Linked DNA regions of Arabidopsis thaliana. The protein of the gene in region 4 interacts with the protein of the main gene of each other region in a pairwise test. Each region holds a gene or a part of one and is shown on either strand. Other genes may lie near its edges. The genes, in order: RGL3, COL9, BZIP53 and BZO2H3.

The links.
Region 1: the proteins of BZO2H3 (region 4) and RGL3 interact in binary tests that used the Arabidopsis thaliana proteins (3 or more experiments, as listed by UniProt).
Region 2: the proteins of BZO2H3 (region 4) and COL9 interact in binary tests that used the Arabidopsis thaliana proteins (3 or more experiments, as listed by UniProt).
Region 3: the proteins of BZO2H3 (region 4) and BZIP53 interact in binary tests that used the Arabidopsis thaliana proteins (3 or more experiments, as listed by UniProt).

Annotation. Positions count from the first base shown.
Region 1 is NC_003076.8:5,761,714-5,769,337, reverse strand, and holds RGL3 (RGA-like protein 3), read left to right. Parts: upstream 1-3,091; 5' UTR 3,092-3,450; coding exon 3,451-5,022; 3' UTR 5,023-5,349; downstream 5,350-7,624. Other genes in the region: AT5G17500 (Glycosyl hydrolase superfamily protein), read right to left, coding at 1-22, 95-291, 383-709, 1,026-1,273, 1,555-1,959; PC1 (pollen calcium-binding protein 1), read right to left, coding at 6,398-6,649. UniProt on the Arabidopsis thaliana protein: Probable transcriptional regulator that acts as a repressor of the gibberellin (GA) signaling pathway. No effect of the BOI proteins on its stability.
Region 2 is NC_003074.8:2,438,883-2,447,126, reverse strand, and holds COL9 (CONSTANS-like 9), read right to left. Parts: upstream 5,559-8,244; 5' UTR 5,287-5,558; intron 4,665-5,286; exon of another isoform or gene 4,662-4,664; 5' UTR 4,634-4,661; coding exon 4,106-4,633; intron 4,005-4,105; coding exon 3,834-4,004; intron 3,741-3,833; coding exon 3,451-3,740; intron 3,356-3,450; coding exon 3,226-3,355; 3' UTR 2,595-3,225; downstream 1-2,594. Other genes in the region: AT3G07660 (flocculation protein (DUF1296)), read left to right, coding at 24-318, 495-653, 982-1,479, 1,568-1,852; AT3G07640 (period circadian protein), read right to left, coding at 7,466-7,594, 7,690-8,079.
Region 3 is NC_003074.8:23,088,833-23,095,755, reverse strand, and holds BZIP53 (basic region/leucine zipper motif 53), read left to right. Parts: upstream 1-2,905; 5' UTR 2,906-3,471; coding exon 3,472-3,912; 3' UTR 3,913-4,170; downstream 4,171-6,923. Other genes in the region: AT3G62430 (Protein with RNI-like/FBD-like domain), read left to right, coding at 452-1,336, 1,445-1,585, 1,674-1,961; CP12-2 (CP12 domain-containing protein 2), read right to left, coding at 4,355-4,750; AT3G62400 (cytochrome C oxidase subunit), read right to left, coding at 5,083-5,343; TBL6 (TRICHOME BIREFRINGENCE-LIKE 6), read left to right, coding at 6,614-6,923.
Region 4 is NC_003076.8:10,793,732-10,801,039, reverse strand, and holds BZO2H3 (bZIP transcription factor family protein), read left to right. Parts: upstream 1-2,734; 5' UTR 2,735-2,892; coding exon 2,893-3,159; intron 3,160-3,398; coding exon 3,399-3,489; intron 3,490-3,592; coding exon 3,593-3,704; intron 3,705-3,768; coding exon 3,769-3,844; coding exon of another isoform or gene 3,845-3,926; coding exon 3,927-4,052; coding exon of another isoform or gene 4,053-4,119; coding exon 4,120-4,392; 3' UTR 4,393-4,583; downstream 4,584-7,308. UniProt on the Arabidopsis thaliana protein: Transcription factor involved in controlling responses to starvation. BZIP2-BZIP63-KIN10 complex binds to the ETFQO promoter to up-regulate its transcription.

The DNA.
Region 1 (7,624 bases), 5.0 Mb from region 4:
TGATTGTGCTTTACACCGGGTCCTGTTTATTAAATTTACATCAAACTATATGTAATAATAATCTGGTTAAATTACAAGCAAGATTGATGAATACCTGTGTGCGGTGGTTGAATGACGGAGAGCCTACGGAGATAAGTATAGTTATGAACATTATGCCAATTCGCATCTAACATACCGTAAGCTTCAACTACACCACGTTTGCCTTCGCGGAAATAATAAACTCCCGTAACCGCCCAAACCGCCCAATCCAAATCTTTCTCGGCCGCCCATGCCAACATACAATTCATGTACCTAATGGTATACGGTTGATAAAAGTACTTTAAGCTTTGATTGGTAAGCAAATATCTAAATGTAATTATAAAGGAAAGCCTTGGTCGAGAACCTGTTTCCTTCAAGATCGCCACCTCTTTGATCGGTCCCAAACTCGCTCAAGAACAAAGGAAAGCCTTGGTCGAGAACAAAACCGCCGGTACGACGCTCCTTAGAGAACATTTGGCTGCAAAAGTCGTTGACATTGTGTGACTTCCATTGACCAGTACCGTCAGTGAAAGAATACCAATGAAGCTCCAAGACAAGTTTTTTCTTGAAGCTAAGATTCACTGGACGATCTTTTAAGAAACTTAGGTCAGCATCGAAGTTAAGCCCTGAGAGTATGACCAGTACGTTAGGGTTTGATGTATGCACTGCTTCTGCTCCTTTTTGCATGTACCTACATGTGGAAAAATAATAATCATTTTTTCTATTTAAAAAAAGGTTAGAATCAAGTTAATTTATTATTTATATGCGTTGATTCTTGTTGTTAAATTGATGGACATTGGATTCCTATATTAACCAATATAAATATATATTTTTTAATGTACTTGTACTTAACTATTATTGTGGATTTAATTATGTATAGCACAACGGAATATAATCTGTTAAGATCTAAAATAGACAGATAATTAACGTGTATTAATTTCCTTGGCCTTCAAGCTTCACATGGGCGTTATGATAAATAAATGAAAATGGAATTTATAAATACGTACTTGTACCAATCTTTTGATGTATGATTGTAGCCTCTAAGTTCATTCCTCAGGCTCATACCAACAACGTTTTTCACGTTCATAAATATTGTGGCCATCTTCTTAAGACCCAACATCCATAGATCCGGGTTGAATTTTGGGTCGCCAAAGAACGCGTCCGGGTCATCGTTGCTACAACACCACCCCGGTACGGTCTTGTGGTTGTCAAGTATCACCATCACATCATGCCTCCCAAGACTATACACCACAGCCTACACAAACATGTTGCCTTGCGTTAGAAGATATCATATAGTAAAAACAAGAAGCATGTGAAATATATTTTTTTCATTACAACGATGATCAGATCTGAAAAGAAATGGAAAAATAATCATTATTGCAATATAAGATAAAACATGTTTTAGTCATATTTTTCAGTCACAAATGACTTATTTAAAAACCATGGATTTTTAATTGAACATGAAAAGAATAGTTTTTGTTTGAGTTGAAGAAATTATGTAATACTAGAATCACATGATTAATTATGTATTTATACCTGAAAGACATTGATGAGAGGAGTATTGACAATGTATGGATTGTGAGTGTAAATCCCTTGAAGCTCATGATCCAATCCATATCTCTCAAATGATTGTTTCACGGTAACATTAAAGGCTAAAGTGTCATTAATCATTAATTCAAGTGGCCAAGTGAGCCTAACACAATTGAATCCCATGTCTTTTATCTTTTTCGATATTGAATCCATTGGCTGGCTGCTCAGCCCCTCTGCTACCACTGGCTTGAGGTGCGAAGGCCAGTTCGCGCAAGCTAGCTTCACGCGGTGGCCCTTGTTGTTTACGATCCATCGAGACTTTGTGAATAGTGGATAATCTGTTGCTAGGGTTAGAGATATTAATGACAAGAATAAGAACAAAAAGACAGTTAAAGCGATTGCTTTTGCCATGCTTATTTCGTTGTGACTGTGTTTTAGGAAGATCATTAAGTATATATAGAGAGTGAAATCAAGGGTTTTTGTCACAATGATAGGGGATTTGTTGAGTTTCTTTTGTAAGATAATTGACTAAATATTTCAGGGTTGGTTACTTAGTTTGATGATAGGTTTCAAAATGTAAATAAATGAGATATTTACGGAACATTGTGGATAAATATCTTCTTACCACACGTTTTGGATAGTGTAGTTTTTTTTATTGTTCGAATAATTAAGAGGATAATTAGTCAATGGATCATCCGCCTAAAATGTCGAGAAAGTAACTTGGGTAACATTTCAAAACGTATCCGGCCATTAAATAGTCTCGTCATTTATTTGTTTCCCTCAAAATTGCCAATATATCAACGAACGAAGGGTAATATACTAATATATTTAGCTTGTGTATTCATTCGCTAAGTCATATAAAATTACTCGAAACTTTATTTTATACAGGATTATACATTATTTTCACAAAACGGAAAATAATAAGCCATTTGTACTTAGACCAACAAACTAATTCAAGAGTGAAATCTATTTTTATGTTCAGTTCTACTCTATTATAAAAATCTTCTATATATGTAACTATCATGTTTAAAATGATGTTTTTGGTATGGGGAATAAAATTCAATTTACACACATAAAGAAATGAAAACATAATAATAATAAGAAAGCAACGTAATGTTGTAGACGTCTGATACCTAATGTCGACTGCCGCCACATGTCGACCGTGAGGTTGGTCACGTTGTCTCCCTAACTGCAATACTTTGAGCTGTACTTCTATCGGGACCTCTATTTTCTTCTCAAACTTTTTTAAAAATTAGTATTATTTTATACCATTTCGGCAAACAAATTATTAGGAGATAGTATCATTTAAAAAAATAAATATCAAATTTTGTCAGTAAAATTATTACAGTATGTCACGTTAACTAGTTAAAATTTTGTTATAGAAACAAGATACTTGAAGAAAACGGGCTGTTACTTTCGGAGTTTACAAGTTCCATTTCTCGAGAAGAACTATTTGGGTTATCAATATAGGTCATATGATATGACTAATATCTACTGCAGCACCCAATTTAATAATTCTAGAAACTCTAAATTCAACATTTAGTGGGTATTAAAAAATAGTTTAATAGACTATGACAGTCCATTGGACCATTAAACAAAAACTACACGCCCTTATCAGAGCGACGAATTTTTTGTAACTTGGATCAGAAATTCAATAAAGTTATAGTAATAAAAATGAAATAATTTGGAAAAGAAAGAATAGAGAAGAAAACACATGCGAAATTATAATGGCCTGCCTCTCTTCCTTCTTATCTCTTTTACTTACACTCTCCAGGTCCCTCACTTCCCTCATTGGACCTCTCTAACTCTCCTCTCTTACCTTCTCCTGTTTAAATTCTTCTCCTTTCTTTCCACAATTTCTGTCTAACCAATTCCAACACCAAAAAATTCCATTTCTTGACGATGAAACGAAGCCATCAAGAAACGTCTGTAGAAGAAGAAGCTCCTTCAATGGTGGAGAAGTTAGAAAATGGTTGTGGTGGTGGTGGAGACGATAACATGGACGAGTTTCTTGCTGTTTTGGGTTACAAGGTTCGATCTTCAGACATGGCAGATGTTGCACAGAAGCTTGAACAGCTTGAAATGGTCTTGTCCAATGATATTGCCTCTTCTAGTAATGCCTTCAATGACACCGTTCATTACAATCCTTCTGATCTCTCCGGTTGGGCTCAGAGCATGCTCTCGGATCTTAATTACTACCCGGATCTTGACCCGAACCGGATTTGCGATCTGAGACCAATCACAGACGACGATGAGTGTTGCAGTAGCAATAGTAACAGCAACAAGAGGATTCGACTCGGTCCTTGGTGTGACTCAGTGACCAGCGAGTCAACTCGTTCCGTGGTGCTTATCGAGGAGACAGGAGTTAGACTCGTTCAGGCGCTAGTGGCCTGCGCCGAGGCGGTTCAGCTGGAGAATCTGAGCCTCGCGGATGCTCTCGTCAAGCGCGTGGGATTACTCGCGGCTTCTCAAGCCGGAGCCATGGGGAAAGTCGCTACCTACTTCGCCGAAGCCCTAGCTCGTCGAATTTACCGGATTCATCCTTCCGCCGCCGCCATTGATCCTTCCTTCGAAGAGATTCTTCAGATGAACTTCTACGACTCGTGTCCCTACCTGAAATTCGCTCATTTCACGGCCAATCAGGCGATTCTAGAAGCTGTTACGACGTCGCGTGTCGTACACGTAATCGATCTAGGGCTTAATCAAGGTATGCAATGGCCGGCGTTAATGCAAGCCTTAGCTCTCCGACCCGGTGGTCCACCGTCGTTTCGTCTCACCGGCGTTGGGAATCCGTCGAATCGAGAAGGGATTCAAGAGTTAGGTTGGAAGCTAGCTCAGCTGGCTCAAGCCATCGGCGTCGAATTCAAATTCAATGGTCTAACGACGGAGAGGTTATCCGATTTAGAACCGGATATGTTCGAGACCCGAACCGAATCGGAGACTCTAGTGGTTAATTCGGTTTTCGAGCTTCACCCGGTTTTATCCCAACCCGGTTCGATCGAAAAGCTGTTAGCGACGGTTAAGGCGGTTAAACCGGGTCTCGTAACAGTGGTGGAACAAGAAGCGAACCATAACGGTGACGTTTTCTTAGACCGGTTTAACGAAGCGCTTCACTATTACTCGAGCTTGTTCGACTCGCTCGAAGATGGTGTTGTGATACCGAGTCAAGACCGAGTCATGTCGGAGGTTTACTTAGGGAGACAGATATTGAACTTGGTGGCGACGGAAGGAAGCGATAGGATCGAGCGACACGAGACGCTGGCTCAGTGGCGAAAACGTATGGGATCCGCCGGGTTTGACCCGGTTAACCTCGGATCAGACGCGTTTAAGCAAGCGAGTTTGCTATTGGCGTTATCTGGCGGTGGAGATGGATACAGAGTGGAGGAGAACGACGGAAGCCTAATGCTTGCGTGGCAAACGAAACCTCTAATCGCTGCATCGGCGTGGAAACTAGCGGCGGAGTTGCGGCGGTAGATACGTCGTCATAAAGAGGAGAAGAAAAAAGACTTAGCGAACGTGACCTTATGTTTTTATTTTACTTTAACTTACCCCAGTAGTTTCGTTTTGTGACAATTTCGCCCGAAATATTCCGTGCCTTATACTTTTGGGACCCAGTTGGTTCGTTGGTCGTGGAGATTCGAGAACGAGGAACATGTGTGTATGTAACAACAGCACGAGCAAGTGTTTTCATAGTTTGAATAAATATGAAAGAAATGACGTTTATTTTATTTTTTGTCAACGAATTGACGTTACGTTTAATTTCACCCAAAATATATACAAAATGACGCATGAATGAATTTGGACCGACTCGATTATTACATAGAGGCTAACGTTTCTGGGAGATGATGATGATGATAGAAGTAAAGAAGCTAAACCTCACTTGAGTCTTTTTATTCTGAAAAGCCGGAGTCCAAACTCTACTTTTGGGTTTTTTGAGAGGTTTTCATTGTCAGCTTTTGATCAAGTGGGTGAAACCGTTTTGCTTAGGAATGTGTAAAAGAAAACTTGATATTTACTACTAATTTTATCACCACTTTTGAAAAATACATGTATTCATAGAAAGATATGATAAAGTTGGACCACATTCTCATTCTCTAAACTCACTTTAAACATGGCAATGTTTAAATATCCTCAAGTCTTGGAACATCTTCAGACTTACCATTTCTTGATTTTACCCGTAACAACACTTCAATATCTGAGTAGTCAAGACTAAACAATCCGAACAATATCAGCTTTTGATTTTATATAAATATAACTATATAAGACTTCCTAACAAAGAGGAACATGAGTCCCACAGCCACAGCATGTCGTAATCGATGGATGAGACGGCTGTGTAGGCATAGTTATTGGTTTCTCCGGCTAAGTCCTAACATGGACTTAGGAGAAAGTTTGAGGTGAGACCGAGAGGATAGGCGGAGAGGTTTACGTTAAAGAGAATGCATCCGCAATATATTTACTTTTTAAGTAATTCTAAAAATGTAGTTACTTTATTTTATATCAATGATTTAAAATGTATATGCGAGAAGCCTAAACCAAATAATGAACTTTAAGGAACAAAACAAATTATGAATGTTTTGGTTCTCTTCACTGTTAAAGCCATTTTTATATCTTTTTAAAACAAAACATTCGTTGTTGTGGTGTTCAACAAACCAAAACAAAACAAACTAGCCCCCTTTTCAAGAATGATCCACTCACATCACATTACATGGAATTAGGATACAATCATATAAATTAAAACTCACCAAGTGTAAAAACAACAAAAATAAGAATTGACGATGCTTAGAACCAAATCTCTCAATATATATAAAAAAATTCAAACATTTCAAAAGTAAAAGTATGGCAAAAAAAATTAGAAAATTTTGGCAACATCCTTCATAAGTCCACGATTGGCACCTGCAAAATCAGTGAATTCTTGATACGATATGTTTCCATCACCATCAGTATCAATTTCAGCCATCATACGTTTGACGTCATCAGCTGTTACCGAACCAAGTGTCTTAAGAGCTTCTTCGAGTTCGGCTGCTGAAATTTTTCCGTCACCATTAGCATCAAATTTCTTGAAAATACGGTCGTGCTCGGCTTTCTCCGTTGCATCAGCCATAATGTCTTGGTGAATATGTGGTTGTGTGCGCGTTTTTATAAGATGAAAACAATCTTTCTTTTTATTGGTGGAGGAATAAGGAAAAATCAAATTATATAAATCTTTGAGTGGAATGAACAGTTGAGGTTGTGCTTTTACTTAGGAACTTTTGGAGGAATGTTTAAACAACAATTGAACGAAATTGGTCCAAGTTAAAACCTAAACTTAGCAAAATTAGGATGTGACTTGGTCTTGAACAAAATTTAGATTCAAGTAGCTAATGGATTTATTCCATTATCGAATTTAAATCTTAATCTATGGTTCTGTCTCTGTTTATAATACTTACAAATCATTTCTTAAAAATATTTATTTCTTACCATCTCAAACTTTCATTAAGATTGGCTGGCCATTAACTAGACCAAGAAAATTTCCACTATTTACCTCTATCTTTTGTGTATAAATATCTAAATATTTTATTATTTTATATATTTTAAAACTACATTAATTAAATACACTTAGATGTTTTAAGAAAATAAGAAACTGAATTTACAAAGTAGTGGAATCATTATAATACTTTGATGTATTCATTAAAATGTAGCTAAAATCTGTAAACTATACAAAATAAATTTGATAAGACAAGAAAAATATGAAAAGTATTCTTTTGGAGATTTAGATCAATATCTATAAAATGTACCTTTGATAAACACAATATATCTTTTTAACTGTACTAAATATTTACATTATATTTACAAAATTTATTGTTGACAAAATAAGCACATCTACATCTATTTAAAGATAATAAGTAACAAAATCTATTAATTAACCAAAATCACTGCATTTCTTTTAATCATCCAGACCAAAAATGCTAAAGGAGATCTAGTCACACAAGTCTTACATTGTTTCAGAGTTAACAAGTGTCTTGTGAGTTATTACCACATACCCATTGTGAGAACTTAGAAGATTTTGTACATTACTTCAGTTTTTATCGTCTCGGCA
Region 2 (8,244 bases), on a different chromosome or scaffold from region 4:
CGAAACTTTTTTTATGCATTCAGGCACCCAACTGTCCATTCGATTGAAAAAGAAGAGGACGGTAATGTTTACTCCGAGTCACCTTCACAAGTTCCAGATAATATGGCTGGTGAAGGTAATACTGCAACAAATACAGCTCCAGAGTATGATGTCACCAAGCAGGAGAATATGTTGGAGTCCGAAAGCAATCAAAACTCGTTTGACCAGGTTCCAAGTAATATTATTGGGATTGTTCCTCCAGCTCCTGGGAACCAGCATCCACAATTTGAGACTTCTGACCCTCAAGCACGTGATGCCCTTCGTCTTCCCAGTTTTATGGTATGCCCTTAATTACATTAAGTTGTCAAGTTTTCGAATGGTTGATCTACTTAAACCATTAATTATACTTAGCTTATACTCTTCATTGATCAGTAACATTTTGCTCATTATATAATTTTTAGGCATTGTCACCTCTAATATGTCTTCGTAATGAACTATACTTTTGTTGTTTGAAGGGCCAACAACCTTTTGATACGGCGAGCTACTATGCTCAGTTCTACCGCTCAGGTCCTGACAGTGATGGCCGTGTTTCTCCCTTCGTTTCCCCAGGGGTTGCCTCCAAATTTAATGGGATTACAGTATTGCCTCCGCATTCATCTCAAACCATGCAAGAGGTTAGTGTAGTTTTTGGGGGTTAACCTTTTATTTTATTTTATAATTCACACCTTCACGATTTTGATCTAATTTAAGATGGTTTTGAGACTTTTTCGTTTAATTCAATCTTCCAACAGTAGCATCATCAATCAAATAGTCAAATTTTCATGTCAGCTACTTGGATCTAAGTCTCATTTTTTCTTCTTGATAAAATTGAAGTAAACCTATGGTTTCTAATTGGACTGCATATTTATATGTTCAGAAGCCCTATAACACGTTTGAAAGATAAAAATATAGCTGTTATTATTACTTTTCTGGTCTGAAATGCTTGAACATGTTGATTTGTAGGGTGGAAATAACTTGGTCCTGTCTACTGCTAGTCCACCACCACTGGTAACTCAAGCTGCTGGACTAATGCAGAGCTCTATACCTGTCACGCAGCAGCCTGTTCCTGTTTTCCGCCCTCCGGGCTTACATATGTCGCATTATCCACCAAACTACGTGCCATATGGATACTTCTCCCCATTCTATTTACCTCCCCCTACAATGCACCAATACTTAAGCAATGGTGCATATGCTCAGCAACCTCAGGCAAGCGGTGTATATCCTCCACCTCCTGGAACTGCAACAGGAGGCAAATACACACTCCCTCATTACAAGCCTGGGACTAATACAGGAAACATGACTCATGTCGGTATTACTGGTGGGTATGGACCAACATATGGGTCTTTCCCAGCAGGATATAATCCCACCTCTGCTGCATCGGCCGGGAATTCGACTTCCAATGAGGATCTCAACTCATTGCAGTTGAAAGAAAACAACGGCTACAGTACAACAGGGCAACAGGTACATATTCCCTCTCCCTCCCAAAACCAACTCAGTTGAAAGTTTAGTTCCCTTTCCTGATTAATTTATAATTGTGGGGTCTCTGCAGAGTGAAGCATTACCTGTATGGATTACTGGACCAGGACGAGATGTGCCAAGCTCTTTCTATGGTTTACAGCACCATGGGCAACACGTGACTTATGCTCCAGCACAAGCTGGTCACGTCGCATTCCCAGGTATGTACCATCCGGGACAAGCAGTAACAGCAACAGGAGTCCATCATCCGCTTTTACAACAGTCTCAAGGTGTGGCTGGAGCTGAAATGGTTGCACCTGCGCCTAACGTTTTCCAACAGCCTCAGCAAACACAGATGAATTGGCCAAGTAATTACTGAAACAGGAAGTATAAAGGAGAAAAAGATTTTGAAGATTCAACAAGTTTCAAATTCCAGAGAAATCAGGAAAGATATATGGGTGCGGGTTTTTGTTGACTTGCGTGTGTGTGTGTGTGCCATCTAACAAATTACCAAAGAGATGAAGCTATGAAGTTGAAGGCTTAAGCATGAAGGAGATTTACAGAGAGAATGATCATAAGGGTAGGGAAAGGTATTGTATGAAACCAGTGTTTTGGTGTTTTCTATATCTTTTTTTTTTTCTTTTGATTTAGCAAATTTTTTTCTTTCTTAGCTTTTAAGAGGTCTTTTTTAGCTCTCTTTTTAAGTTTCTGAGCTAAGACAAGAACTTTGCTACCTGAGTCTGTATCTGAAGACTCTTCCTCTCTTCCTTCTTTTCTTAGCCTTTGGTCAATGTTTTCAAATCCGAGTCAGCAATCAAATTGGACAAATTTCTTGCTCGCGAATCAACTTTCTCTGAATGTTTATTCCTCAATTCGAAAATTAAGGCTTGTGAATATGAGTCTTCAAGAAAATTCACATTAAGTTGTAAAATCCGAAATACTCCAAATATAAATGTTAAAAACTTTTGGTCCATATGTCATCTTGAAAACTACTGTTTTGCATCTCAATCACTTTTGATAAGTGTTCAAAATTGACATAGTAGAAGCTAAGTTTAAGTAAACAGCGATAAAGCGCCTAAACTCACATAAATGGACTCCCCTTTATAATCTGACATTTAAATAATAAAGTTCAGATGTTTTGCATTGCCTCATTGTTGGATCAACCTCTTGAAGTTACTACAAACCAAAATCTCGTTAAACTTGAACTAGTACTAGTCGGTTGTTACAGAACGAGACTTAGGTTAAGTGGTACCACATAACTTTCTTTGTCTATAGAAGAATGTGGATAATGTCTTTAATTTACAAGAATGCCGAGTACAAAACAGAAAAACATTTATGAGTATACAAACAAATACAAAGGCATATACAACAATCACATATTGTTTAAATTACTCTAAATCTCCTTCCCTGCCTTTTTAACTACCAAGAGAAGAACAAAATTCATGGAACCCTGATCAGTGTGAGACGCCTGAAGAAGAAGAAGAAGAAACCGGAGTTTGGACAAGGAAAGTCAGAGAATAATCCCTCTGGTCAAGAATGAAGCTTCTGAGGCCAAAAAAAACGATTGAATCCCAAGAATGAATGATTGCTTACAAGAGTCAGTCTTGAAATCTGTTCATGCTACAGTAGTCTTGTTTTGTTACTAACCCACAATTTTCCAAGTTGCTCACTTGAAACTGCCCATAAGTCAAAACCTTTCTTGTTCGATTCTTCGCCATGTATATATATCTATGTACCTTTCAAAAGGAGTCTTCAATAACTTCTGGTTGGGGTGAGAGGGTCGTAATCATAAGCTTCACCAGCTTTGACAAATCGCCCCTTTACACGCCGTCTCACATCAGCTCTTGCTTTGCGGGAAGCATACCTCACTCTCTTATCAAACCTGTTTCCAGAAAAAAGAAGCCAGAGTCACATTAGGAAAATCCTGCACTCACTTCAATGATGCTCATGTATTTGCAGTTTCAGACTACTACTTACTTGCGAGCCTTCTTCTTCTCCTTGTAACGCATAACTGCGTTATTACGGGTTACTGAATGTGAGCAGGCATTGTTATCCTGTAATGTTGGAGGATACCATGGTGGCTCCCCCGAGAGCTGTATGGAAGATGATGCACCACATTCTTGGAAATCTCCAGCACTACTTTCTCCAGTGACTCCAGAGAAGGATATGTTCGAATGTGCTGGCTTCGATGCGAAGCAAATTATTGGCTCAGTTTTCGAACTCATGAACGAATCATTACTGCCTGCTGGCTGCACCGAATTCCCTCCCTGGATTGAGCAAAAACAAGAGAGCATTATTAGAATCACACAGAGATGCATCCAATTTGATAAATCTAAGAAGAAAGGGTAATGGATAAAAACCTCTGGAGCTGTTTGGTGCTTATGGAAAAGGCTATCGATTCCACCATGCCCGAATAGCTCTTCAGAGGGGTTAAAGGCGGTACCAAAGAGTTCTTCATAGTTCTCAAGTGCCATGTCAACTTCATCCATACCAAGGTTCCCGTAGAAGTCATCTTCACACATTCCAACATCCTTTAAACCAAAACAAACAACAACTCTGAATTTAGTAAAGAAATGATAGATATGTATATCCATGGATGCAAAAGTAATAACATATTGAGAAAAAAAGTTACCTTAGCAGAAGATGATTTTCCTTGTGGTACAGAACTGGTTTCAGGAATTGAAGAGGATCCAACCAAGACATCTTTCTTATCCTCATTACAAGTTTTCTTGTCGGTAGGACCATCATCGTCTATATTCATCATACCCAGTTCTTGTTCACAAATAGATTGTCCAGCTAAGTCCAAACAGAAAGACCAAATGGAAGCGAGTTCTGAGCTGGAAGGGCAACCCGAATAGCAACTTATGGTTTGCCTCTTATGCTGCTGCGGCGAAGTAGAAGAAGACGAAGAATTGTTGTTGTTGCTGTTGTTGTGGCCAGACCAGTCACAGTTTTGACAGAGTGAAACCCTTTCTTCAACACACCTGACAGTAGCAGGCTGAGCATTGCATCTCTCGCAGACAAGTGTCCGAGAATGTCGTTTGGACAATGCATTAGCGGAATGAACACTCCGGTCACAGGAGAGACACAAACAAGCTGCATCGGATCGACAGTACACCATAGATCTTTGTTCACCACAGAAGTCACACATGTAACCCATCTTCCTTGGCTCTGACCAAATCAACTTTCTGCTGTCCAAAAAAGTAAACAAATTATTAGATGAAAAAGAGAGAGACTTTTGGTTCAAAAAAGCAAGCCTTGAAGAAGAAATAGATGGAATCTTTCTGAATATAGGTAGTAATTTCTAAAAAAAGGTTGTAGGAGATTAATAACCAAAGGAGAAGGATAAAAAAGGGAAAGGAAACCTACTTTCATGAGATTTTACTCAATACAGAGCTTTTATTATAAACAAGAGTCAGAGACCAAAACCTACAAATGGATATTACTGAAAATCGAAATAAATTAATAAAACAACAACAACTCAAGCTTCAAAGTATAAACCCCAGATCAGTAAATCTAGAGATTTTGTTTGACTTACTAGTTCAAATGGAACTGAATCGAAAAAATCTGAATTTCCAATAAATAACGAAAACTTTTGGATCAATCCCAATCATCATCATCCGAACAAGTTTTAAAACCCCAAATCAAAAGATCCAATTCAACAAAAATCAAAACCAACCCTTCATCGATATACAATGAATAATCAATCACTAACACCAATTATACAACAGATAGCAAGAAAATAAGAACACACTTGGGATTATTAAAATCAGAAAAGAAAAGACAGAGGGAGAAGAGAAACAAACAACTCACGTAAAGAAGATCCTTCTTGTGGACTACTACTATCTTCTTCAGAAGTTGAATCCAGAAACTTTAGAGACAAATAAACAAAGCCTAGAAACAGAGAAGATGATGACTATTCCAGAACTTCTTCTTCTTCTTCTTCTTCTTCTTCTTCTTGTTGTGGCTTCTCTCTCTCTCTCTGGAGGAAGAAATGAAAAAAAAAAATGAATGGATAGACAATGGGTGGGTGTGTCCGCAAAGGGACATGTAGGCGCTTCTGACATAATCTGATTTATCAAAAGTGCCTAATTTCCTTCCTTCTCTTTCTTTTTTTTATTAATTAAAAAGACGAAAAAGTGCAAAAAAGTTCGTGTAGGGTATTGTGGGTCCCTCTCGTATTTATAGTGAAAGCAATAAAATTTTTATGGATATTTCTTAAAGATATTACTATTAGAAAGAAAAGAAAAAAAGGTTGTATGTTTTTTACTCACGCGCATGCGAGTATTGAAGATAATCTACTCGCGACGTGGAAGTTACCAAGTGGCTAGTTTGTGCCATAATGGATTCTCAAGCGTTCACTTTTTTGATGCTTTTCGACGAATCAGAATTCAGAAAATCTCCCTCTCTCTCTCTCTCTCAGTCTCAGATAATAATAATAATAATTGATAAATCTGTTTGCTTTGACCTTACAAAAGCCAAAAATATCTTCTTCTTCTTCATTTTTCGGTGGGCGTATATAACAAAAATATCTTCTTTTGGTAGAACAAATAAAATAAATTAATGATATTTATCATTGAGGGGAGAGAGAACTGAATGAAAACCAAAAAATATCTGCCAAGTTAGATACGTCTGTATAACTCTTTCAGACCAGAAAGATATTTCACACTACGTCTACGTACTACTAGCCTTTGCCCCAATATTCTTCATAAAAATAATAATCATAAAGTCGCTGAAAAATAATGAAATCAATATGATAGATCTCTCTTTTGTCCTTTTTCTTTCCTCATATTAATATTGTTCACCGGTTTACTTAAACCCATTTCTTTATTTCGATTTCTTGGGTACTCGATATCGATTTATTAAATTGAGTAATATAAAAAAGCAAAACATGATAGACCAAATATGAAAGAATGATGGTTAAGTCTTGGATGAAACCCCACCTCCATTTTTTTAAGTGTCTGACTGTTTTCACATGTTTACAATTTAAGTTCCTATTGAATATACGATTTAGTACCACTAAATAATTGATCATAACTTCAGTTCAAAGTTTATAATTACAAGATGAGAAGTCGAATTGAAATGATGCATTGTTAATCAGAAAACTATTGTTTTTGAAATTGAGCAAGTGTTAATTTTTAAACTCATATAATATAGTATTAGTTAATGGTGAGTTAATATTGTGTTTCGTTCTCAATTAAGAAAACATCAAAATGAATTGCTCTTTATCCAGACTCGTATGTATCCAATCAAAGACGAATGATCAAAGACCCTAATTGGTTAAAATATTAACAAATCTGCCTGGCAAATAAGTGAATAGTAGTCATCTAATCAAATGATAATGAAAGCGAAAAGGCGACGATAAGACGCACTAAAAAGATCGAACAAGATATATAAAAACAACAAACAAAAAAAATAACATATGATGCTGAAATGTCAGTAGGATAAGATTCTCGGACGATCCGAAAAACTTTGGTACAAAACATCGTATTCCTTCTTCTTCATCAATATCCTATTATTAAACAACCGGCTTAGCAGTTAGCAGAGCTGACGACACCTCACTTATTTTCTCTTAAGATAACATTAACTATCTCTATTACTATACTTCATGAGTGCCTTTTATGGACTTCACACCAATTTTAATCTCTCTTTTTTTATGCCTCTCCCACCAATCATAACTCTAATCATTTGTATTATATTAAGTAATCCCACTCCTATGTTATGATCCTCCCATGAGTTGACCAAATATATGTACCTTTAAATCAAAATGCTTCTGAGAGTTTAAGATTTGGTTGAACCAAGTCAGCCCAAAAAAAAAGAAACTGTTTCTTTCATAAATAAATATCCTAGAAAAAGCAGAGTGACGTGGATTTGGTTCTGCTGAGCATAAGAATTTTAACAAAAGGGTACTACTACAATAGGGAAATTTACTGCAGGTCCAAGCAAAGACTGTAGCAGTGTTGGGCCATGAAAAAGACCTGACCTGTGAAGATTAGCCATAAAGAGCACGCCACGGACTTTCTTCTTCTTTTGATGTCTTTGATGCGCTCCACTTGATTCTGTCTCTTGAGAAAGACAGTCCTGTCCAACTAGCCACGAGCTCCCCTGTTTCATGGATCACCTGTGATGACAACAACAACACAAACTCGTTATTCAGCTGAAATCAACCAGCGAAAAACAAGCATAAACTGAGACAAAATTACTAAGTAAAATTACCTGAAGCTCTTCGTCTAGAGCTTTATGAGTTAGGCTATTGCTTCTTTGGCCTATGAGAATAGCGGTAGGCAGGCGTTTAACACGAGCTAGATGAAGCAAGCATGACAAAGGTTCATAATGGATCTGCATCGATAGTGGTGGTTTCTCGATGCGAGAAGCAAATAACCTACTGGTCTCTGTTTCTGTAGCAACTTGAACGTAATGAAGACTAGCTTTTCTGTTATTTGCTTCCAGGGATCTGTTATTGAACTTGAGCTTAGATGCCGCCACAAAGAAAGGAGCTATGATTGTGGGTAGAGTTGACGATCCCCTTGTAATTAGGTCCAGCAGTTCATTCATAGCACACACTAGTACTGGAGGCTCATAACTTCGAAGAAGAAAAATCGAGACCTTAAACAATATAAGAAATAGTCCGAAAGTTAAGCAATGAAATCATAGTCCAGAAATACACATTCAACAGAGAAACAAGAAAACATGATATCAAGTCTTGCAAGTTGCAAGATAACCAATTTGGGGATAATATTATCATCAAGGGCCAAAATCTGACCAAGCTTA
Region 3 (6,923 bases), on a different chromosome or scaffold from region 4:
GGTGGCGCAAAATGATTGGCTCAAAAACGAAAAGGTTTTGTTTTTGTATCCGAGTATATAAAAAATGAGCAAAATTAATAGATAATAAAAATTCAAATTTCTTTCCTCTGCTCTCAAGAAAATGCTACGGCTCCGCTCTACTTCTTCGTCCATTTCTCATTGAAGATTCAATTTCGCTTCAGAAATCTCTCAAATTGATCGGATTGAGTGTCTCGTCTACCCCAATTTCTGCAAATTACGCTTCGGTTTTCTTGGTTCTGCATAAACGCGATTGCGATGATTTCTAGGTTTCTGCTTCATGCCTACATGTGAAGTAAGCTCGTCTTAGCCTTTGAAATTGATCTAGTTTGGGAATTTTGGTTGATGTTGAAGTCAAGTCACTGAAGGTTCCATTAGAAATTGAGGTTTTTCTGGGTAGTGAAAAGAGGGTTCTTTAGGGTTTGAGAAAAGAATGGATAGAATCAGTAATTTACCAGATGGTGTTATCTATCGCGTGATCTCCTTACTTTCGACAAAAGAAGCTACTTGCTTGAAGTATACCTCCAAGAACTGGCTGAATCTGGTTACCATCATACCGATTGCTGTTTTCGTTGATTCCTCGGCGTCTGCCATTAGTGCAAGTTTCAAAGATTTCGCTGATCGAATAATGTTAGCTCGACTTGCCAGTCACCGTATTAGGAGATTCTCTCTAAAGTTGCAGTCTTTGAATTTTGCTCAGTATAAAACTGTCAATGATTGTTTACGCAATGTGTTGGAGTGTGGAGTCTTGGATCTTGAACTGGACATCAATGTCAGAGGAGATTACTCACTGCCTTCTGAGATCTTCACTTGCAAGAGCGTTGTGAAAATGAAACTAGGGTCTGGTTTTGTTATTGACATTCTCCCTAAGAATGCTTGGCTTCCTGCTCTTAAGACTCTCCTTCTTGATACAGTTCGGTTCGAATTCGATAACACTGCTGGTTGTTCGTTTACAAAGCTTATTTCTGCTTGCCCTGTGCTCGAGGAGTTAGTCATAGATGGCCACAACTGTGAAGATTGGAAATGGTCTCGCAGAGTATCTAGTCAGATCCTTAAGCGACTTACTATTCGGCGTAAAGAATGGGTTCATGATGGCTCTAGTTTTGAGCCTATCAGTTTGGATATTCCTAGTCTTGAATACTTTAAATACTTTGATACTCTCCGAGATAGCTATCCAGTTGTTAAGCTCAACTCCCTTGTGGAAGCTAAGCTAGAACTTCCTTCTCTTTATATTGGGGATACCTACAATGTTAGGAATCTGATCAAGGGGTTGAAAAATGTTCAGATTCTGCGCTTAGGAGCTGTTGACACGATGCACGTAAGTGCTCTCCACTGAGATATTAAAATAAAAAATCTTTCTATACATTAGAATGTTTATTGAAGTTATGACTGACTAGTTTTTTTTTTTTTTTCAATTCTGTTCCAGCTGTTTTGGGTCTTCAGGGAAGCAGTCCCAGTGTTTGAGAACCTGTTTCATTTATCAGTTAGTACTCATGACGCTATCTGTTGGGATGATCTGCGTATTCTTCTTGAAAAATCTCCAAATCTAAAGACTCTCACCATTGAGGTGACCAAAAACCCCAAAAGTTCATTGGACAAACAAAAGAATTGAAACTCACAAAATCTTCAATCTCAAAATTCCGGTCTTTTTGCAGGCTTTGCATTATCATGGCTATGGGGATGAAAACTCTGTTTGCGAATGCTTGGATGGGTATTCTTTCCTTTTGTCCTGCCCTATTGAGATCCTAAAGATAACTGAGTTCGGTGGAGAGATTGAAGAAATGGAGCAAGTAGAGTATGTCTTGGAGAATTTGCTGTGTCTGGTGCTGTTGGAAATTCATGTTAAGACAAAGAAGATTGACAGAAAGCTGCAGATCTTGGCGGATCTCCTAATGCTTCCGAGAGCTTCATCCAAATGCAAAGTCCAGGTCAAGTTTGTTTGAACAAACAAGTGTTTGTTGCCTCAACATGAGAACTGTTGGAGAAATGGTGCAAATAAAGCACATGTTAGAGAAATTGCCAAGTCTTGAGCTTTTGGAAGTTCAGCTTAAGCCAATAATAAGAGCTGACACAAAGATTCAGATCATGTTGGATCTCCTAATGCTACCGAGAAATTCATCTAAATGCAAACTTCGTATCAAGCCCTCTTGAACAAAATCTTAACATATCCCATTTATTGACATGAGAGAACTGAGTTTGTTTTTGTATCACACTCTTAAATCTTTGCATAAGCTCAGAATCTAGTTTGTGAAGATTGTGAGAGAAGTAATCTTAAAAAGATCAAACTTTTGTTGACATAAGCTTGGCGTTTTTCTTATCTCTAACTGGATTTTTCGAGTGTGTAAGGGAGAGCTAAGCCCATCAGCTGAATTAAGGCTATTATAAAGCCCACGAGCCAACTTCCCAACTCAGTCTTGTGTTTTGTAATTTAAAATCGTGTCAATAAAATGATGTAATCGTCACGTCATCATTTAAGTTTTAACCAAAGAGAGCCGCATATAAACAACAATCTGGTAGACTTTCGTTATAGTTAATGGTCGTTTTATAATTACGCTTATGAATTGTGTGTTAGACGTTGCTTTCGTGAGGAAATTTTCAAATTCAGAAATATATAATATTCAGTTAATTAACACTTGGCAATAATATTTGATATTTTCTGAGGAGGCATCTTGGTGGAATATTCCATCCGTGAACAGACGGAGAAACTTCCCTCAACAAAACGTGCTTCCCTTATAAAATTCCAGCTGGCGGCGTCACAGCTGGCGTCAGTTTCCCCCAGTTGCGTTTTAAAAAAAAACAAAATAAAAAGATTTATGACCAAAAGTTAATTATCTTCCTTTATTAAAATATTGTAAAAATAAAGAAAAAGGCTTAGGACAGCTCATCACCATCTTCTCCTTTAAAAGGATAAGCTTGGTGTTACTTTATCGCCTTCTTTCGTTTGGCCTTTGATCCTATCATAAGCTTTTTTTCGTTTATCAATCTTCTCGATTCAGCCACAATTCTTGTTTCTCAGATAATTCATCTCCTTTCTTTGATTCGTTTCCTTCTCTTCTGTCACTCAGATCTAGATCTAGATCTAGGTTTTTTTCTTTCTCATCGGAAATTTGGCTTAGAGGCTTGTTTTGATCTAGGGTTTGGTTTTTGGGAATTTTGAAAAAAAAACAAAATTAGGAATGAATCTATGAGCTACTCAATCCTGTTTCGTCGGATTCGAATTCTACACTCTTTCTCCGTCGTTTACCTCTACTACACCTACGTTTTCTCATGAAGTAATCGTTCTCGATCTCAGTTTTCGTTTTTGATCTAACTTATTCTTTGATAGATTTAGAAATCGGGGATTTTCAGATTGTGTTTTTGAGAGGTTTTTATAGGAAAATATCTCTAGAAGAAGAAGAATAATATTATATTGATTTTAATTTTGGTGAGAAGAAGTCAAAAAGTCAACGAGAAATGGGGTCGTTGCAAATGCAAACAAGTCCTGAATCCGATAATGATCCGAGGTACGCCACGGTGACGGATGAGAGGAAGAGGAAGAGAATGATCTCTAACAGAGAATCTGCTCGGAGGTCAAGGATGAGGAAACAGAAGCAACTTGGTGATTTGATCAACGAAGTCACTCTTCTCAAGAATGATAACGCTAAAATCACTGAGCAGGTTGATGAAGCTTCAAAGAAATACATTGAAATGGAGTCTAAGAACAATGTCTTGAGGGCACAGGCTTCGGAGTTGACGGATAGGTTGAGATCATTGAACTCTGTGCTTGAGATGGTTGAAGAAATTAGTGGTCAGGCTTTGGATATTCCTGAGATTCCTGAATCTATGCAGAACCCTTGGCAGATGCCTTGTCCAATGCAACCAATCAGAGCTTCTGCTGATATGTTTGATTGCTGAAGATGGATGATTCATATCTGAAGGATCAAAAATGAAGCATTGAGTTCGAGTCTTTGGTCTGTTTTACTTACTGTCCTTGTTGTAACAATTAGTGTGTCATTGGTGAATTGAGTCTTGTGTTGTCAATGGACAACGCAATCTTTATGCAATTTCAATTTGTTCGTGTCTTTGTATGGTTTTGTAGCCTCAGTCCTCTAGTCTTGTGTCTCATGTAATTGGTGTCTAATGTGTTTCTTATTGAATTCAAGCTTTCTTATTATTCGCTGCGCATTACCTGTTATGAAATTTTGGCTTTTGTATTCGTTTATGGAACTACAAATTACAAATGTTTTTAGAGCTAATTCAGATTCAAAGACATGATTTATATAACCTGACATTACCAAATGGACCGGAACAAAGATTTGTCGTATACGTATGAATCCGGAACAGGATCTTGATCGCTTCAGTTGTCGTAAGTACGGCACTCGTTGGTCTCAGGATTGTCTTTGCAGTATTCCTCCAAAGGGTCCGAACCATCAGCCTTCTTCTTGTCTCTAGCATGGCTAGCTGCTGCGCTAAGTTCTTCAACCTCGTCCCACGCAGCTACACACTCTCCACTCACAGGATCGCCCGCACAAGTCTCCTGAGCTTCCTTAATGCTTTTCTCCACTACGTCCGATATCCCTCCTTCCGGTGCTGCTTTAATCGGCTGAAGTTTCATCATCCGGTTAGTTGTTCTTGACCCAAGATTCCACGAATTGTTCAAATGGACCGGACCGGCGAGACAAACTGGCCGATTCTCGCTGGTGACGAAGACACGCTGGGTTGCAATGTTAAGACCAGTAGCTATAGTTGCCATCTTTGGATGGAGAAGGTACACGGCAGCCTGTGAATATAGTTTTTGATAAAAGAAGATAGTTCAGATAATTGGGAGGGAACAAGATATATGAAGTGTGCGTGAATTTAATTCTGTGAACCCCATTTCTTATCCTCTATTAACCAACAATTAAGTTCCACGTATTTGATATCGTTTATGAAGCAGTACGATGTTGAAAATTTGCAGCCATCCAAGCCGTTTTCTAAGATACAAGTGCCTGTTGCGTATTTTATCCAAAAAAGATGAGAAAAAATAAGCTGGTAAGTATAATAAAATGATCACACACTGTTTAAGGAAAAGTCAAGACAGATGTCTCAAGTTTCAACCACTGTATCTCCGGAAAACAATGTGTTAACAAATATCCAATTTTGATGTCTGAGTGGTTGTTTATTTCTCAAGCAACCAACTTTCTTAGGTAACTTATCTGAGATCTCAAGAAACCATAAAAACAGAAAAATCGAGCCAACAACATTGAGAGTGAGAGAGAGGCATTCCCATTCACTCTTCAGAGGCGACAACACCGATCTCACCTCTCTCAAGCAAATCATAGAAAGTTCTAGTTTTCCTCTGCTCATTCCAATGGTGCATCTTCCAGAGACCACCAGCAGCTAAACCAAGCGTCAAACCAATAATCAATTCCTTGACAACACTCGGGCCTTTCAATGTGGCATGCGCAACCTTGTGTCCTGCCATTTCTTCTCAACCTAGCACACATTTTAATCATAGAGTCAATACTAACATAATTGATACTTTCACAATGCTCACGATTCCTAAAGCTGAAAACTTTATTGACAACCAATAAAACATCTATACACACACACACACTAATCTACCTGATCTCTTAATTTCTACTGGTTTGCACTTGGAGTCTATATATACACATAAACATGTACAATTTCGATCCATTTTCTGTCTAACCTCTTAACTACGTCTCTATTCAAAGGAAGATATCAAAGGCTTTGAATTTATTCCCAAAATGATACAAGAACCCTAATCCACAGGATCCAGATACTGAAAATAAAATTGGCATTTCTCCCGAAGAAAAGGATTAACGTTTCAAAGCATCACAACACTAAGAGCATCAAATCTAAATCAACGGAAGATTTAAACGAGAAATTCCGATCTTAAGCACACCGATCTACACGGGAAAAAAAACGAGAAATGGATTCGAATCTGATAAAAATTAATCGTAACTTCACAATCCGCCACCTATCTATAACGAAAATCACCACAAAATCATAAAGGAAACAACAATTATCATCAAGGGAAGAATATGGACTTTACCGAGTCAGATTGTGTAGATGAACGAGACAGAAGCTCACGACGAAAACGAAATGGTGGGTGATTGAAGAAGTTGCGTAAGCAGATAATCACTTCTCTACTCCATTTGTGTCTTATTGGGCCTTAAACATGGGCCTGATCTCTTATTTCTTCAATGGGCATTTTATGGAATTTGCTTTTTAAAAAAGTAAACCATTCGCTGCTCGTGTTCCCCGAGTGTGTCCCACCACGTTAATAATGCCAAATCCAATCTGTCAACACACTAAACTAATTTCCTAATCCTGAACTTTTTTAAATAATCATTATCTTTCCCTCTGTTCCGTTAATTATTGTAAAATTCATGAGCTCACGAGTTTGTAAGAACGTCATTATCATTTCTTCACCGAATCTCTCCTCTATACCCCACTAATTCAACCACCTTTGTCGACTCCAAAATTTCAATCCTTTTCTCAAACAGTTCCATTTTTCGATTTCAAATTTCTCTGATTACAGATAATTATGAAACTGTTTTTTCTTAACTAACTTATAACAGTTACAGAGAAAAAATAAATAAAGAGATAGAAGATGGAGAGACAAAGAAGTTTCTCTGTGAAGTCCACAAGAGTCTTAGCATTCATCATCACAATAATCTCTTCCGCCATTGTTTTCTTCACTTTCTTCTCCTCTTCCTTACTCAAATCTAACTCTTCTCTTTACCCAACACCAGAAGCTAACTTCCAGATCGATTTAAGCCCTATTGCCGCCATTTCCGATTCTTCAGTTTCTCCTCAAGCAAGTCCGATTCTGATCTCTACCCATTTCAATTCACCCGAAAACACTTCCGGGTCTTCAAAAATTTCTGTTTTTGAGCAGAAGATTAGCGGCGAGAGTTTGG
Region 4 (7,308 bases):
ACTGGTCTTAAACTAATTGAACTATTTGTTTTTTGATCTGGACCAAAACCCGCCTATTTGTATTTGGACTGAGCAACCCCATGGGTGATTGCCCAATCGACAGCTTTAATCGTATGTGTTCAAACTCCATTTCCTTACTTCACATATAAGTTTAGTCTTTATATGTTGGCGAAACTCTTAACTTAAAAACCACAATTTTTAGTAAGCTTTTGTACTCTCTCTGCTAAGAATTTCAAATTCTTTCTATTTTAGTATTTAGTTATTTACAACTCCAAAATATTAACAAACAAATTGAGCGAAATTGACTATAACATTATGTTATAAACCACAGCCACACAAAAAAATATGAATATTAGTACTCAATATTATTTAAGCAATCCAAACATTGCTGTCCAAGAAAATGTGGTCCGAATGATATTCAAATATTTGTTCGTTAGAAACATGAACAAAATATAAATATTTCATGTGGCTATTGAGCCTTGTTGCTAAAAAATGGGGCCATATATCCCAAATGTATGAGCCAACACGTTTCATTAGGCCCACTAATTGATCCCACCGGCCTAGCTGCATGCATATCTTTTTTTTTTGGCAATGTTCTATTTTCCAAATCTTTCAGCATTATACGGAAAAAGAAAAACAAACCAACGAATAAATAACCCATACACGACACGAAAAAAATCCACAAAAAAATGTAGAAATAGTTTCTTGAACAGATAAACCTACTCTTTTGAAAGTAAGACAACAAAAAAAAAAATCTGATAATCAGGGGTGTTCCAGTTTTACCATCGACAAACTTTTTCAAAGTAAATGTATCCACTGTCTGTCCTAATCTAAAGCTGAACAATTAAGGGTTTTAAGCCTCAAAATATATATTTCATTTTGAAAGCACCAAAACTATAAATTTCTTGTAGGACAGTGATTTTTCCGGGTTTTTTTGTTTCTCATGTTATAGGTTTAAGTCTCCAATGCATCATTTTGCTATATTTTAAATATTTATAGGCAAAAAATATTTTGGGTTTTAGGACCAACTCTGAGTGTAGCCGTTGAATAGTCCATTCATCGGATTTTTAATAAACCTTAAACATGACACCAGGTCAAAATAAGAATGATTTAGAAATTGATTCATAACCTAACCTACATAATAATTCTTCCTAAAATAAGACAAAATGTCACACGAAATTATACAGTTTGAGATTTTTCTAAACCACTTTAACATAGAAAAGTCTACAAAATTCTACTAATGGTGTAATAGAGACGTACTTTGATAAAACGTAAATCATTCTTTCAAATAGAGTTGAACTACTGATATTCTCAAAGTCAAACCACCAACATCCACTTGGTTTGCAAGTGTTATGTTTCTCTCTCACTAGATATTCTCTTGATAAAAGGTTTTGCACAAGTGTACTAATATATGCAAAAATAAAGGACCCACCAAAATATGCAACTTGAATTTGGATAGATTCTTATCCAAAAATCAGAAGTTTAGTACATTTCTCTAATCTAACTTCACTTACAAAACTATATATTATGTTCCTCTCGGATCTCTCCTTTCCTTTGTAAAATGCAAATGGGAATATTAAATGGACCCATGAAATGAAGTTACGTTACAAAACCGACGACAACTATAATATTTATTATTTATATATTCTTGTGATGCAGATCAAAATTTAAATTGACTAAAATACCCCTTGCCACGTCAGTCTGACTTGGATTTGCCCCAAAAAGCGTTGAAAAAAATATTATTAAATCCAATAAGGCATAAACAAATATTATTACATGTATATTTTAAATATTACTTTAAGCTCCTCATATTCTTCTGTTTTTATCAATTATACACCAACATTTGTTGTTTATAAATATGAACCCCTAATCGTCCCCTTTCAAACGTGGAATATAAGATCGATATATATTACACATTTGAGTAAACAATTAGGCAATGAAGTTTGTGAAGGAGACTGCATTTCTGATAATCTTAATAATTTTTGTTTTCTTAATAATATTATTTATTTTTTTTATAAAATGGTCTGAAAAATTACAATCATTACATCGTTTCTAACGGTTTTTTCTTTCTTAAAGAATCGTTTTTAAATTTAAAATTTTCGATTATTTTTGATTTTTACCGCTAATCTTGGAATTTATCTTGAGTGCTCAAGAGTGAGTAAAATCCCTTACCTCGAAAAATCCCTTTATGGTAGAGGACGTTGGTGATAGTAACAATTTTTTCTCGTAGCTCGGTCATTGTGTCGGCCATTGTGAGATCGAAGAAAGATATTGAGATAAGGTGGGTTAAGCAGTAGATTCTCCGTTTTCCATTGTCCACTAGGATACAATTTTCTTTTTTGACTCTGATCAGTTTTTTCTATTTTAATTTGTGTATCTTAATATTATTATTCGTTGTAACTGTAGGCGAATCTCACCTTTTTTAAAAACATGTTTTAAGAAAGAAAAAAAAAAGTTTGACACTTTAATTATTTTTTCCATTCTATATATCTTATAAACTAAAAATTGTTCTAAAAAGTAGAAAAATTAGTATAACTAAAACCATATTTCCAGATACTTTTTTCCTTTTATTTATTATTAGTTCTGTTGTTAATAAAAATCGTTATAATTTTTTGTATTATGACCTGTCGTTTTTTAAGATACTACAAGAAAACAGTGACCTAACAGAATAAATCAAAAGTTTTTGCTGTAAATAGAAATACACGACTCTTGTCGGGGCCATTAGGGTAATAATCAGACAATTAAATATCTAACAAAACAACAAAACTTGAAAAGAACATATTATTAAAATGCAAGACTGCCCAATCGGATAAGAAGAAACTGTTTTGACAATTTGAAACCAAAAAAAAATAAATAAAACTAAAGAAACAAACAAATTACAAAAGAGAAAAGATGGAAAAAGTTTTCTCCGACGAAGAAATCTCCGGTAACCATCACTGGTCGGTTAATGGAATGACGTCGTTGAATCGCAGTGCTTCCGAATGGGCATTCAATCGTTTCATACAAGAATCCTCCGCCGCTGCAGACGACGGAGAATCTACGACGGCGTGTGGTGTTTCCGTCTCCTCTCCTCCTAATGTTCCTGTAGATTCAGAGGAATACAGAGCATTTCTCAAGAGTAAACTTAATCTTGCTTGTGCTGCTGTCGCCATGAAAAGGGTACTCACTACTCTGCTCAAGTTTGAGTTTTTTTTTTTTTCATAGAAAAAGAAAAACAAAACCTTTTTATCTGTTAGTTTGATGAGTTCACTTGAAGCTAAGAAACTAATCTTGTTTTGTTATGTTTGAGTGTTAAGATCTTATTGGACCTTTTGTATATGATTTGCCATTATCTTCCTTGAGATTATAATTTGCATTAGTTAATTGATTTTGTGGTGTTAATATTGAAAATTTGATAGGGAACTTTCATCAAACCTCAGGATACTTCTGGTAGATCTGACAATGGTGGAGCCAATGAATCAGAACAAGCCTCTCTTGCTTCTTCCAAAGGTTTTACAATACATCTATGATAAGCCTTTTAAGATGTTATTGATAGTTGTTGTGTTTGTTTTCAAGATTTCTTGTAAATGCTAATGGACCAATCTGTATGCAGCTACACCAATGATGAGCAGTGCTATAACAAGTGGATCTGAGCTCTCTGGTGATGAAGAAGAAGCTGATGGTGAAACTAATATGAACCCTACTAATGTTAAACGCGTTAAAAGGTAACAAATTTACATCCTTTCTTGGACTTGAACATGAACATGAACGTGAATTTGTTTGTTATAGGATGCTCTCTAATAGAGAATCAGCTAGACGGTCCAGAAGAAGAAAGCAAGCACACTTGAGTGAGCTAGAGACACAAGTATGTTACTCTCGCAGCGTTCTTATTCTTTCTCCTTTAACTTTGTTTAGCTCACTTGTGCGACAATCTCCATTTCGTGTAGGTTTCACAGCTTCGTGTAGAGAATTCAAAACTCATGAAGGGTCTCACTGATGTAACTCAAACATTCAATGATGCATCTGTAGAAAACAGAGTTTTAAAAGCCAATATTGAGACACTACGAGCAAAGGTAAAATACTTTCTTTTATCTCTCTGTCTACCAAAACTCGCTATTGAAGCATGTTTGTTTTTGGCAGGTGAAAATGGCTGAAGAGACAGTGAAGAGACTCACTGGCTTTAACCCAATGTTCCACAATATGCCTCAGATTGTTTCAACTGTCTCTCTTCCTTCAGAGACATCAAATTCTCCAGACACTACAAGCAGCCAAGTGACTACACCAGAGATCATTAGCTCGGGGAACAAAGGCAAGGCCTTGATAGGGTGCAAGATGAACAGAACAGCTTCGATGCGTAGAGTTGAGAGCTTGGAACATCTGCAGAAACGTATTCGAAGCGTTGGGGATCAGTAGCTGTTAAAGAAGAATCTTGATTTGTAACATTAATCTTAAGACATATGTTAAGACAAAATGTTGTATGTTTTTGTAAAGAATTGTTTTTTCAGATTATTTAAATTTTTTTTTGTCTTCTTCGTTGATTGTTTGTGTTGAACTTCTAATTTTCATTGTACATGTCTTTTGTTAAATTTACAAAGTTTTTCTAATTTCTGTTAAGAATTACAAGTTTTATCAATTTCACCTAGTGAAACTATTGAAATGGTGATGAGGCAACGATGCAAACGTATAATTTTGGTTATTGAAACTAGAAATTACGAGTTTAATCCCAAATTTCGGCTCTTAGAATCGGGTTTCTATCAATAATTTTTGTTTAAATCCGAATTAGATTATAAATATATATATAAATAAAATAACTATAATTAAACCTTATTAATTTATATTTTTTTTCAAAGTAACCTTTAAATTATGATTTAAGATATTCAATTATGTTCGTTTTTTCGTATCGATTATTTTGATTTGGTTCAGATCGGATAAAACATCTCTAATAAGAATTAATATGCTCTTTTGTAGAATTAATATTCATGAAATATTTAGAAATTTTGTATATTATATAAAATTTAGGAGTACTTTTGACGTATTTTTTTTTGTCGACAATTTCTTTGATTACTAACCCAAAAGGGCAAATTATAAGAGAAGTATAGGTGAAATTTGTGGATCCAAAACCCCATGATATAAGTCCAAACTAAACCCATACAATAATACATCAAATTAAGACTAGGTTTAAAATGAGACACGTGTTAGCCACGTCCCACGTGTTATTGCACAAAGGAGTGGTGGAAAACAACCGACTTGCCACCAAAAATGGAAAAATCCGGTCAGATTCAAAAGAATTTCAGTGAGGAAAATCACCATTTTCAGCACTTGATTCCAACAGATTTCAGCTTCTTACTCCGTATTTCACCAGATCCATTTGCAGCGTTTTTGAAAAGGTAGAAAACCGATGTCCTTGAATCTTCAAATCTATTAAACTCTGGAATCCGCGAGAAGATGAGATGTCAAATTAGTCGCTATACGTCGCTTTGCTAATTTGGTCTCAACCAGACACGAAATCCAACTTTCACGATTCACAAGCTCAAAGAGAAACCAACATCCAAAGCCGATTAGATGTCCACTAAACGGTATGAGGATTTACTCTCCTCAGAAACGAGATCAAGCAGATGAATATTCAGAATCTTGGAATTACCCCTCAGATTTTGCCTCTAACGACATCTGCAAAAGGAAAGGAGAAGAAAAAACTAAAAAGAAATAGCCACAAATGCTAACAAAAGCTCGCAACAAACCGAACTTTGCCGGAAACCAAAAAAAGTAATTTTGATGTATTTTGTTTTTGTTTTTTCATCTTAAACTACTGTTTTAAAGAATAAAATACTGTAGTTTTCATCTATTAGAATTTAGAAGGGATACACATGCGCTAGAGATGGCCAACCTCTCTCTTTCTTCTCTCTCTAATACTTTTTAGAGAGAGGGAGGTTCTTCAAGTCATCACCATCCAGCTTAGTTTGCTGGATTTTGTGATCGGCCGAAGTTTGGTATCATCGTCAGTTTAGCCGTTAACACAACTTTTCCGTTGTCTTGTTTTTACCGTCAACATGACTTTTTCCATTGTTGTGTTCTTGCCGTCCGCTTCCATGCGAAATCTCCGATAGCTTTCTCTAGTGGTTCAATGGTTTCACTAGTTTTCCGACGGATTCTCGAGGTGCTCACCATCGTTCTGGTTATCGTCATCCTACGAACAAGATGTAGACATGTGGCTTTCCTCCTTCAATGGGTTATCTTTTTTTGTTTGGGTTGAAGTGTTTGATGACACGTGTACTTAAGAATACTTGCTTTATGTTCTGGCTCGTAATGTTTATATTTTTTTTTTATCAATCTTTTAATTATAAAGTTCAAGTTTCATCCTACTGATAAAGCTTTCAGTTTATTAGAAAATATGAACCTCTTCCAGGTCTACCTTGTGCGTGATGTTGCAACTCTTTTTGGATGCCACTATGGCTTTATCCGGTTTTACTTTGGCAACACGGTGGTATACTTCCACTGCTTGGTTGCTTTCACTGCCTTTTTGGATACTTTGTACTACTAAATCTGTTATAGTTGAAGATGGGGAACAAGATGCAACCATAAAGTAAGCAGATGATGGATGCGATAGGACCAATTGCAAGCTTGAAGCTTCAATGTTTGGTCTTATTGAGTTTTGCTATGGATTTACTATTACCAAGTTACCATTTTCCTGTTACACTTTAGTTTGTAATATATTTATGGTTATCAGTTTGTACATTTTGTTGTAACTCACTCTTGCCTCTCCACCTCGGTTTATCCAATGTTGGATGTTGCAATATGATTGTATATATTTACTAAAAGTTTGGAAAAAAAAATTAGAAGAGATTTGAAACCTGTCGAGGACAATTCTATTTAGCCACCAAAAGTGAAAAAACGTTCTGGTGTACCCCTAGTTATTCAGAGTGCCACTCAAGGGTGTGCAATTACCCTTAGATGAGTAATTGAGAATAAACGATTTGTAAAAAAAAAAAAACGGTTAATTCCTATCCATCGCTTCGCGTCTCCTTCTTCTGAGTTCTCCGGTTCCTTATTTTCTCCGATTTCGTCGGCGACTTGAGCTCTGATTTCGCCGGCGACTTGAGCTCCGATTTCACCGGCGAGTTAGCTTCTAGGCTCGCCGTAGCTTCCAATCCGATAATCTGCTCTCAAAGTTAGCTTCCTCCTCACCGGCAAAAGTAAATCCGATCTCCTTTTGATTTGTAGATTAATGTGAATTTCTTGTTTGAGTTATTTGTTAATAACATAAAATTGTTGTATTGTTCATTATGGGCTGTTGTATCGTTTTGAATCGGAGATTTCAGTGTTCAATCGAAT